Linked DNA regions of Mus musculus. The protein of the gene in region 1 interacts with the protein of each later gene in a pairwise test. Links are inferred from orthologs where the notes say so. Each region holds a gene or a part of one and is shown on either strand. Other genes may lie near its edges.

What was found. The genes of interacting proteins can lie anywhere in the genome.
Region 2: the proteins of Banp (region 1) and Tnxb interact in binary tests that used the Homo sapiens proteins (3 or more experiments, as listed by UniProt). The two-hybrid records come from large-scale screens. The link is inferred for Mus musculus from reciprocal best matches to the Homo sapiens genes BANP and TNXB.

What each region holds. Positions count from the first base shown.
Region 1 is NC_000074.6:121,948,848-121,953,408, forward strand, and holds the start of Banp (protein BANP), read left to right. Parts: upstream 1-1,644; 5' UTR 1,645-1,801; intron 1,802-4,561. UniProt on the Homo sapiens protein: Controls V(D)J recombination during T-cell development by repressing T-cell receptor (TCR) beta enhancer function. Binds to scaffold/matrix attachment region beta (S/MARbeta), an ATC-rich DNA sequence located upstream of the TCR beta enhancer.
Region 2 is NC_000083.6:34,717,837-34,720,544, reverse strand, and holds the end of Tnxb (tenascin-X precursor), read right to left. Parts: intron 2,647-2,708; coding exon 2,516-2,646; intron 2,394-2,515; coding exon 2,261-2,393; intron 2,163-2,260; coding exon 2,011-2,162; intron 1,911-2,010; coding exon 1,814-1,910; intron 1,728-1,813; coding exon 1,566-1,727; intron 1,485-1,565; coding exon 1,321-1,484; intron 1,115-1,320; exon of another isoform or gene 1,020-1,114; coding exon 918-1,019; 3' UTR 730-917; downstream 1-729. UniProt on the Homo sapiens protein: Appears to mediate interactions between cells and the extracellular matrix. Substrate-adhesion molecule that appears to inhibit cell migration. Accelerates collagen fibril formation. May play a role in supporting the growth of epithelial tumors.

The DNA of each region.
Region 1 (4,561 bases):
GATCTAAACTGTATTAGCACTCGGACTCTCATTCAGCCCTTCATTGCTGCCTACTGGTGCCAACCCACCCTTTCCCCACCATCCACTCATCTGCTTGATGGTTGCACTAAATACATTTGAAGTCCTGGGATGGAGGAGACGGCAACGCCAGGGGTGAAAGGGAGGTTAAGGGGGATGTTAGGGTGACATGCTGGGGATGACGTCACCATTACTCTGTTTTTCCGTGCGGTCAGGCATTCATGTTCAGAACTCTCACAACTACAGTTTTAAAATCTGGGCCCAATTGAGGGGCGGTGGGAGGAGATAGTACAACTCTCTAAGAGTTTCTGGCCAAGTTCCTCGTAGTTCCTCTGGGCTTAGCTTTCTTTCTTTTTATTTTAAAGATTTATTTATTTATTTCATGTATGTGGGTACACTGTCACTGTCTTCAGACACACCAGAAGAGGGCATTGGGTTCCCATTACAGATGGTTGTGAGCCATCATGTAGTTCCTGGGGTTTGAACTCAGGACCTCTGGAAGAGCAGTCAGTGCTTTTTTTTTTTTTTTTTTTTTTTTCCCCAAATGAGACAGGGCTTCTCTGTATAACTCTGGCTGTCCTGGAACTCACTCTGTAGATTGGGCTGGCTCGAACTCAGAAATCTGGCTGCCTTTACCTTCCAAGTGCTGGGATTAAAGGTGTGCGCCACCACTGCCCAGCAGGTCTCATTTTAACAGCACAGTTCTAGGTTGAAATCTTCAAGACAATCCTGAGGTAAAGTGGCACAGGATCAAACCCCAGACAGAGCACAGTGGTTTAGAAGGGCTGTCCCAAGGTTGCCCAGCTGGTAGCTGCACTGAGTCATGGCTTTATTATCGGCACAGGGGAACGGGCAGGAAACAGGTTTTTGTTTTGTTTAGTTTTCTAAGTGAAAATAACTCCTGTAATCCCGGTTTGTAGGATTGCTCACTGCGAACATGCAGAAGGGGACAGCCTGGAAAGGAACACTGACGACAGACCAGGTGCAGAGAACCATTAGTGGCATTTCTGGCAACAAATGCACATCGATGCTGCATAGCTCCTATTGCATGATACGTAAGCATGTCACATATAATCTCTATCACAGTGACAGTGTCCCCACGACCAGCTTGTCCATAAGGAAGTCAGGCAACTTTCCAGACAATGCCACTGAACGAGCCCGGAACGTCTGAGACCGATGCCAGGTAGAGTAGGTAGGACGGGTTTGGGAGCGTACAGCCCATTTGAGCCGCTGACACTACAAGTCCCAGCAGCCCTCAGGGCAGGGAAGGCATGGGGCAGCCAGAATCCGGATGGACTACAAATCCCAGCAGGCAAATCATGGCCGCAGAGACTACCAGTCCCAGGACGCATCGTGCCACACACAGCGCACACTGGGATTTGTAGTCGTCAGGGCAGCGTTAGTGTGTTCACACCCATCAAAGAGGACGTACATTCCTCAGATTGAACACTGGAGGATTTACTGCTTTAGCAAGTAACATGGACGTGAGATGGGGAAGTAAGGGCCCAGCGAGTCAACTCTCGGAGCAGGGGAGGACAACTGCGCATGCTCGTTGGAGTCCGTCGGCGAAAGCGCGCGCCAGAGGCGCCCAGAGCAGGCCCCGCCCCCTTCCCGACCGGCCCCGCCCTTGAGCCGGGAGCCCAGGGAGCCTGCGCTGAGGGCGGGGCGCAGGCCGTGGGGAGGCGCTCGCGGCGCCTGCGCAGAGCGGCTGCTTCTCTCGCGAGGACGGACGCCATTATCGCAGCTCCCCGACAAACACCACGAGAATTCCGCAGCCCACACGGTAATTGCAGCTCCCGCAGCCGGTCGCGCCTCCACTCCCCCTTCCCGCGGGGCGAGAGCGAGAGCGAGAGCGAGATCTCCGGCCGCCCCCGCCCCGCCCCGCCGCCAACCGTCGCCAACGGCCACGGGGCCGCACGCCGGGCTGGGCGGGGGCCGGCGGGCCGCGGGATGTCCGCGCGTCGCCTCCGCGCCTCCACCCGCCGGGGCTGCGGGACCCGGGAAGCGAGCGAGCGAGCGGGCGAGCGGCCGAGGCCCGGCGGCCGTGCTCGCGTGCGTTCGGCTCCGGGGCCTCGGCGCCTCCCGGGCCCGCGCCCGGCGCTCCTGTCACGGGCTCGGCGCGCGGGCGCTGTGGCCCTGGCTCGGCCGCCCAAGTCTCTCAGGACTGAGCCTCGCGCGCTGCGCCCGGGCCCCGCGCGCCGCCCCGCCGCCTAGGTGGCCCCATCTCCCGGCCGTTGTTGGCGCTATGCCCCGGTAACCGGGTGACTTCGCCCTGGTTGGCGCGTCCGCCCGCCTCTGCTCTGCTCTCTGTTGACATCGGGGCCGAGACTGGTGCTCGCTTCCCCACCTAGCGTCACGTCCCCGTCCCGCACAGCCTGGCTCTTTTTTTTCCTTGTTACTTGTGGTGGCCTTTGTTTCTCTGCTCCTGGTGACATTGTAACTTCTCGGAGATAGTGTGGAACCTCCGGCTTCCCTCTACCTCCTCTCTGCCTTTCTTCTAATCTGGGTTGGGGACGCTTTAGGCGGGTGCAGGTAGGTCCCGAGGTCTTTCTTTCGCTGCACGCCTGGTCAGCTCAGGACGCAGTGTTTCAGTCAGCTTTCTTCTTGAGTCCCCAGGGAGCCTCTGCCAAGGACTTCCTTTCTGGTAACTGTTTCCTCCCTGGACCGGCCTAAGGTCTTCTTGGCATTGGAACAGGTCTGCCCTTCGCAGGTATGCTCGGTAGGCGTGTCCTCGAGCGCTGGGAGATTGTCCCAAGAGCCTTTCTTAAAGTCGTTAGAGAGTTTGTCGCCCTCCCCCCCACCCCCGCCCCATTTGGGCACACTACTTGAGTTTCTTTATCTTTCTATTCCTTTTTGATTTTCATTCCAGGAAAGAACTTCAGTTTATCTTTCACCCCAGTGGCGCAGGACTTTTAATTCCAAGCACTTAGGAGACAGAGGCAGGTGGATCTTTGCCAGTTTGAGGCAACCTCGTTTACATAGTGTTTACATAGGCAACCTCCCCTATCTCGGGGAGGGGGCCGGCGAATCCACCATCAGAATTGTAGTTTCTGAGCAGGGCATAGAGAGGTACACACCTCTAGCCCCAGCACTTGGGAGGCAGAGGCAGGCGGATCTCTTAAGTCTGACACCATCCTGCTCTACAGAGTGAGTTCTAGGACAGCCAGAACTACACAGAGAAACCTTGTCTTGAAAAACGAAACAAACAAAAAAAAATTTCTGAATGTATTTGTTCTTTTCCTTTTGTTCAGTAGTTTGTTTCATGAATATGTTTTCTCTTTCAGGCTGAGAAAACTATTAGGGGTTCTTTTCAGTTCTCTTATCTGACTTCTTGTTTATCACTTTTGGGGGGTGGGTGGTAAATGTTAGCTTCTTGCTTTGGATGGCAGGTCCTCCAATAGTGCTAATTATTATTGCTTAAACCTTAGACTTTAAGGTAAGAGGAAACTGGCAGGGGGCCCTGGGTCTGTGGAGAGGGGTTTAAAAATGGTTTTCCCCACTAGTGTCTGGGAGAGGTTGTTACCTCAAGACTTGGAGGACCACATAACAGACACCTTATATCTGGGCTGTTTATGCATCTTCCAGGGTCTGTCTCCCTTTGCTTGGAAGCTGTTTTGCTTGTCAGGGGTGGCTGTGGAGACTGCTGAGGGCCAGGTGGGGCCTGGAGCCCCACTCCTGTGTCCTGCAAGCTATCTAGATCCTCTGTCAGAAGTTTAAGTCTTTGGCTGTGCTCTATTTTCTTGTGAGCTGATTGTACTGTAGTAAGTATTTTAGTGGGGTAAGTGGAGATTGTTTACAAGGCCACTCATCTTGAACAGGAATTTCAAAGCCTGTTGTCTTCATTCAGACAATTTGTCTCCTTCCATTTTTTGCTCTTTGTGACGGATGTGTGCCAGAACATGGTGTCTGGCTGCCTCCAGTTGACTGGGTGGTCCTTTGGTAGGGTACCGGGATGCAGAGGACTGGTCCCACACTGAGATTAGGATGCAGAGGACTGGTCCCACACTGAGATTAGGCACTTGATTTGACTTGTCTGGTGAGCTCTGAGTTTAGCCTCTTCACTTTGTTGCTGGGCTAGTGCAAGTAGCTAGCATATTATGCATGGTTCATTGATCCCGAGGTGCGCAGTGCAGTGTTTGCCGCGCCCATAGCACAGGGATAGCGAGGCGCTGTTTTGGGCTGGCACCCTTGCCCAGGGCCTTGCAGCAGAGTCCACAGCAACCCACACTTCATGAGCATTCTGAGGTCCACCTGCAGAGTTAGTCTGTGGTTAAGAATTTCAGAGAAACTGAATGAGCTTCCTCTTCCCCTTCATTTTCTCTCTTGGCTAACAGGAAGGTTACCTAGATTATAAAGACCATACACACGTTTCAATGTCCCACTGACATCTTTTGTTTGTTTTGTTTCAGGATGTAATTCAAGACTCCATACTCTAGTTGTCATATCTCCTCCAGTCTGCTATTTTCGTTATCCCAAAGTATCCAGTGTTTATAAGTTTTGGCAGGAAAAACGTGCAGTTTCTGGAAAAAGCCCAGCAGATACT
Region 2 (2,708 bases), on another chromosome or scaffold:
AGAACCCAGCCTTGCCCCTCCTTCTCAGATCCAGAAGTGACTGCAGGAAGAGTTAGACCTCAAGCTGGGCCCAGGCTCCCAGCTCCTGTACAGGAACCGAATGCAGCTGCCTCTGCTCATGGCCACCATTGCTGAGGTGCTGCATTTGCGGCCTGTGGTGCCCTTGGCCTTGCCCCATCGTGCAACTAAGGCTAGCAGGTGATTCCCTGGGGGTAAGGGTTGAGGGAGGAAGACCTCGACAGCTCCTGACTCCACCTTTCCCTCAGCATCTCTGGCTATAACATCCCCAAGGATATGGTCATCATCCCCAACATCCAAGGCGCCAACCTGGATGAGATGGTTTGGGAACTGCCCAGCAAGTTCTGGCCAGGTATGAGGCAGACAGGAAAGGGAGCGGGAGAGGGCCGGCCTCTGCTGGGACAAACTTCTCTAGCTCTCCATCTACTACCCACAGATCGCTTCCTGGAACCTGGCAAGAATCCCAGAACACCATCCTTTGGCTGTGGGGCACGCGTGTGCCTGGGAGAGCCTCTGGCACGGCTGGAGCTCTTTGTGGTGCTGGCTCGTCTGCTGCAGGCCTTCACTCTGCTGCCTCCACCAGATGGAACCCTGCCCTCCCTGCAGCCCCAGCTTTATGCTGGCATCAATCTCCTGATTCCTCCTTTCCAGGTGCGGCTGCAGCCCAGAAACCTGGCAGCCCAAGAACTGGGTGAGAAAACCTTGACAGGATAGGATGAGCCTAGTGCCTCAGTTTCTCCTTTATTGCTCCATTTCCCCTCCCCTCCCCCCCTGTAAACATGGTGCTGTGAGATTGTGGCAGAGAAGGCCTCCTTGGTGTGGCATGCTGGCTCTTCTCTGGGCACAACCCCTCAGTGCTCGGCAGTCATACCGGGGTGTGAGTGAGGTGGGCAGCAGGCTCAGGTGCCCCTGGTGGGGACCTGGAAGTTTCTGGGTCGCAGCTTCATTTCCGTGAAGGGCACAGAGAACTCGAAGCCCTTCCAGTGGTACCAGCTCACTCCCTGAGGAGAGGGTTGTCAAGGGAAGAGAGTCAAGACAGTGCCATATCAATGCCACCTAATCCAGCCCCACCCTGCTCCTGTAGGTGACTCCCAGGGTCCAGCCATCTCCCCCATGATCCCTGAGCTGGTGCCTTCTGCCCAGTAATAAATGGTCTCTTCAAGTTTCCTCAGCAAGGTTGGCATGAGTGTCTCATTTCACAGTTGAGCCTCTGAGGCACGAGTTCAGCCCTTCATGTGAGAGGACTTCAGCCCGGGTCACCCAGATCCCAACGTGGAGTCCTGTGGTCCCCACGGCCCCCACCTGGTGATCCACTGTGCTCCCATAGAGCCCATTGAGGTTGGCGTAGTGACAGTTCCTGTACCACCAAGCCCCACGATAAGAGACAGCGCAAGAGATGAGCAAGTTGTTGGGGTCTCGATCACGGGCAGAAAAGACACTGCCACTGTGGTAGCTCATAGAGTCGCCTGGCAGGGCATGCGAAGACATAGTGAGGATCACCCCGCCTCGTGCCCACCCGCCCCCACATCATCTGTGCCCACACTTACCTGCAGTCCCATGGTAGCCCTCAAGGTGTAGGCGGTAGTTCTCCTTTGCTGAGTCTACACGGAAGAAGTCATACTGGGCGAACACGGCTTCCTTTCCGGCCCGCAGGTCCACACGCAGAGAATAGTCTCCAGCCTGTGTTAGGCTGTGCAGGGCCTCGTTGCCTGGGGTGGAGCATGCTTCATCAGGGTACTGGGGTTCACTGGACTGCCATCCCTTCCCTGGCTCCCCAGCCCTATGAAGCACGGACCCAGCCAGAATTCCCCGGAAATGTTCCCAAAACCATGGGCGTACTCCTCCCAGTCTCTCCAGAAGTCCGTCTGTCCATCCATGCGGCGCTGGAACACCTGGAAAGCAATCAAGGCCAAAGTCAGCCTGTGGTTCCCCTGCATCGTCTCCTGTGCTACACAGTGATAAGCAGGGAGCCGGGCTCTGAATGGAACCCACCAGCCAACCACCTCCATCAGTCTCCATGTCACAGAACACATCCAAAGGCCGCTCACGGTTGCCATTGAGGAAGATGGTGGTGGTCTTTGAGGCACTGGGCCCATTCTTCAGCTCCTCCCCACAGTCCCGGGGGAAGGGGATCCGCAGCCCACCTGCGGAGAGGAGGTGGAGAGTCTGTCTGTTCTCCTCCCCAAACCTCAGATCCCAGAGCCCCCCAACCCCCGCGAAGCTCAAACCCCAGAGCCAGTACCAGTAGTAAAGGAAGTGAGCACGGGAGGTGTAAGGCTCTCGCCCCAGATGGCCCGCAGCTGGGCACTGTAGAAGGTGGAGGGGAAGAGGCGCAGAAGCCTGTGCGAGGTGGTTCCTGCTGGAAGCAGGATTTCCTGGAGACAGACGAGGGACAGACATGTCAGTGGAGGGCCAGATGGAGACTCTCTAGGAGAGCTAGAGGAGGCACCTCCAAATCAAGCCGCGTGGAATGCTGATGGCCAGTGAAGTGGGGTACCTGAATCTGTCCTCCAGGGGTGTCAAAGCTGAGCAGGTAGCCTGTGGGTGGGACTTCAGGCTCAGTCCAAGTGAGCAGGGCCGTGCGAGGAGTCACTTCCTTGGCCTCCAAGTCCTGGGGGGGCTTTAACCCTGGAAGGAGAAGGATGGAAAGAGACAAAAATGAGGCCCATGTCTATTCTCCTCAATCTCCT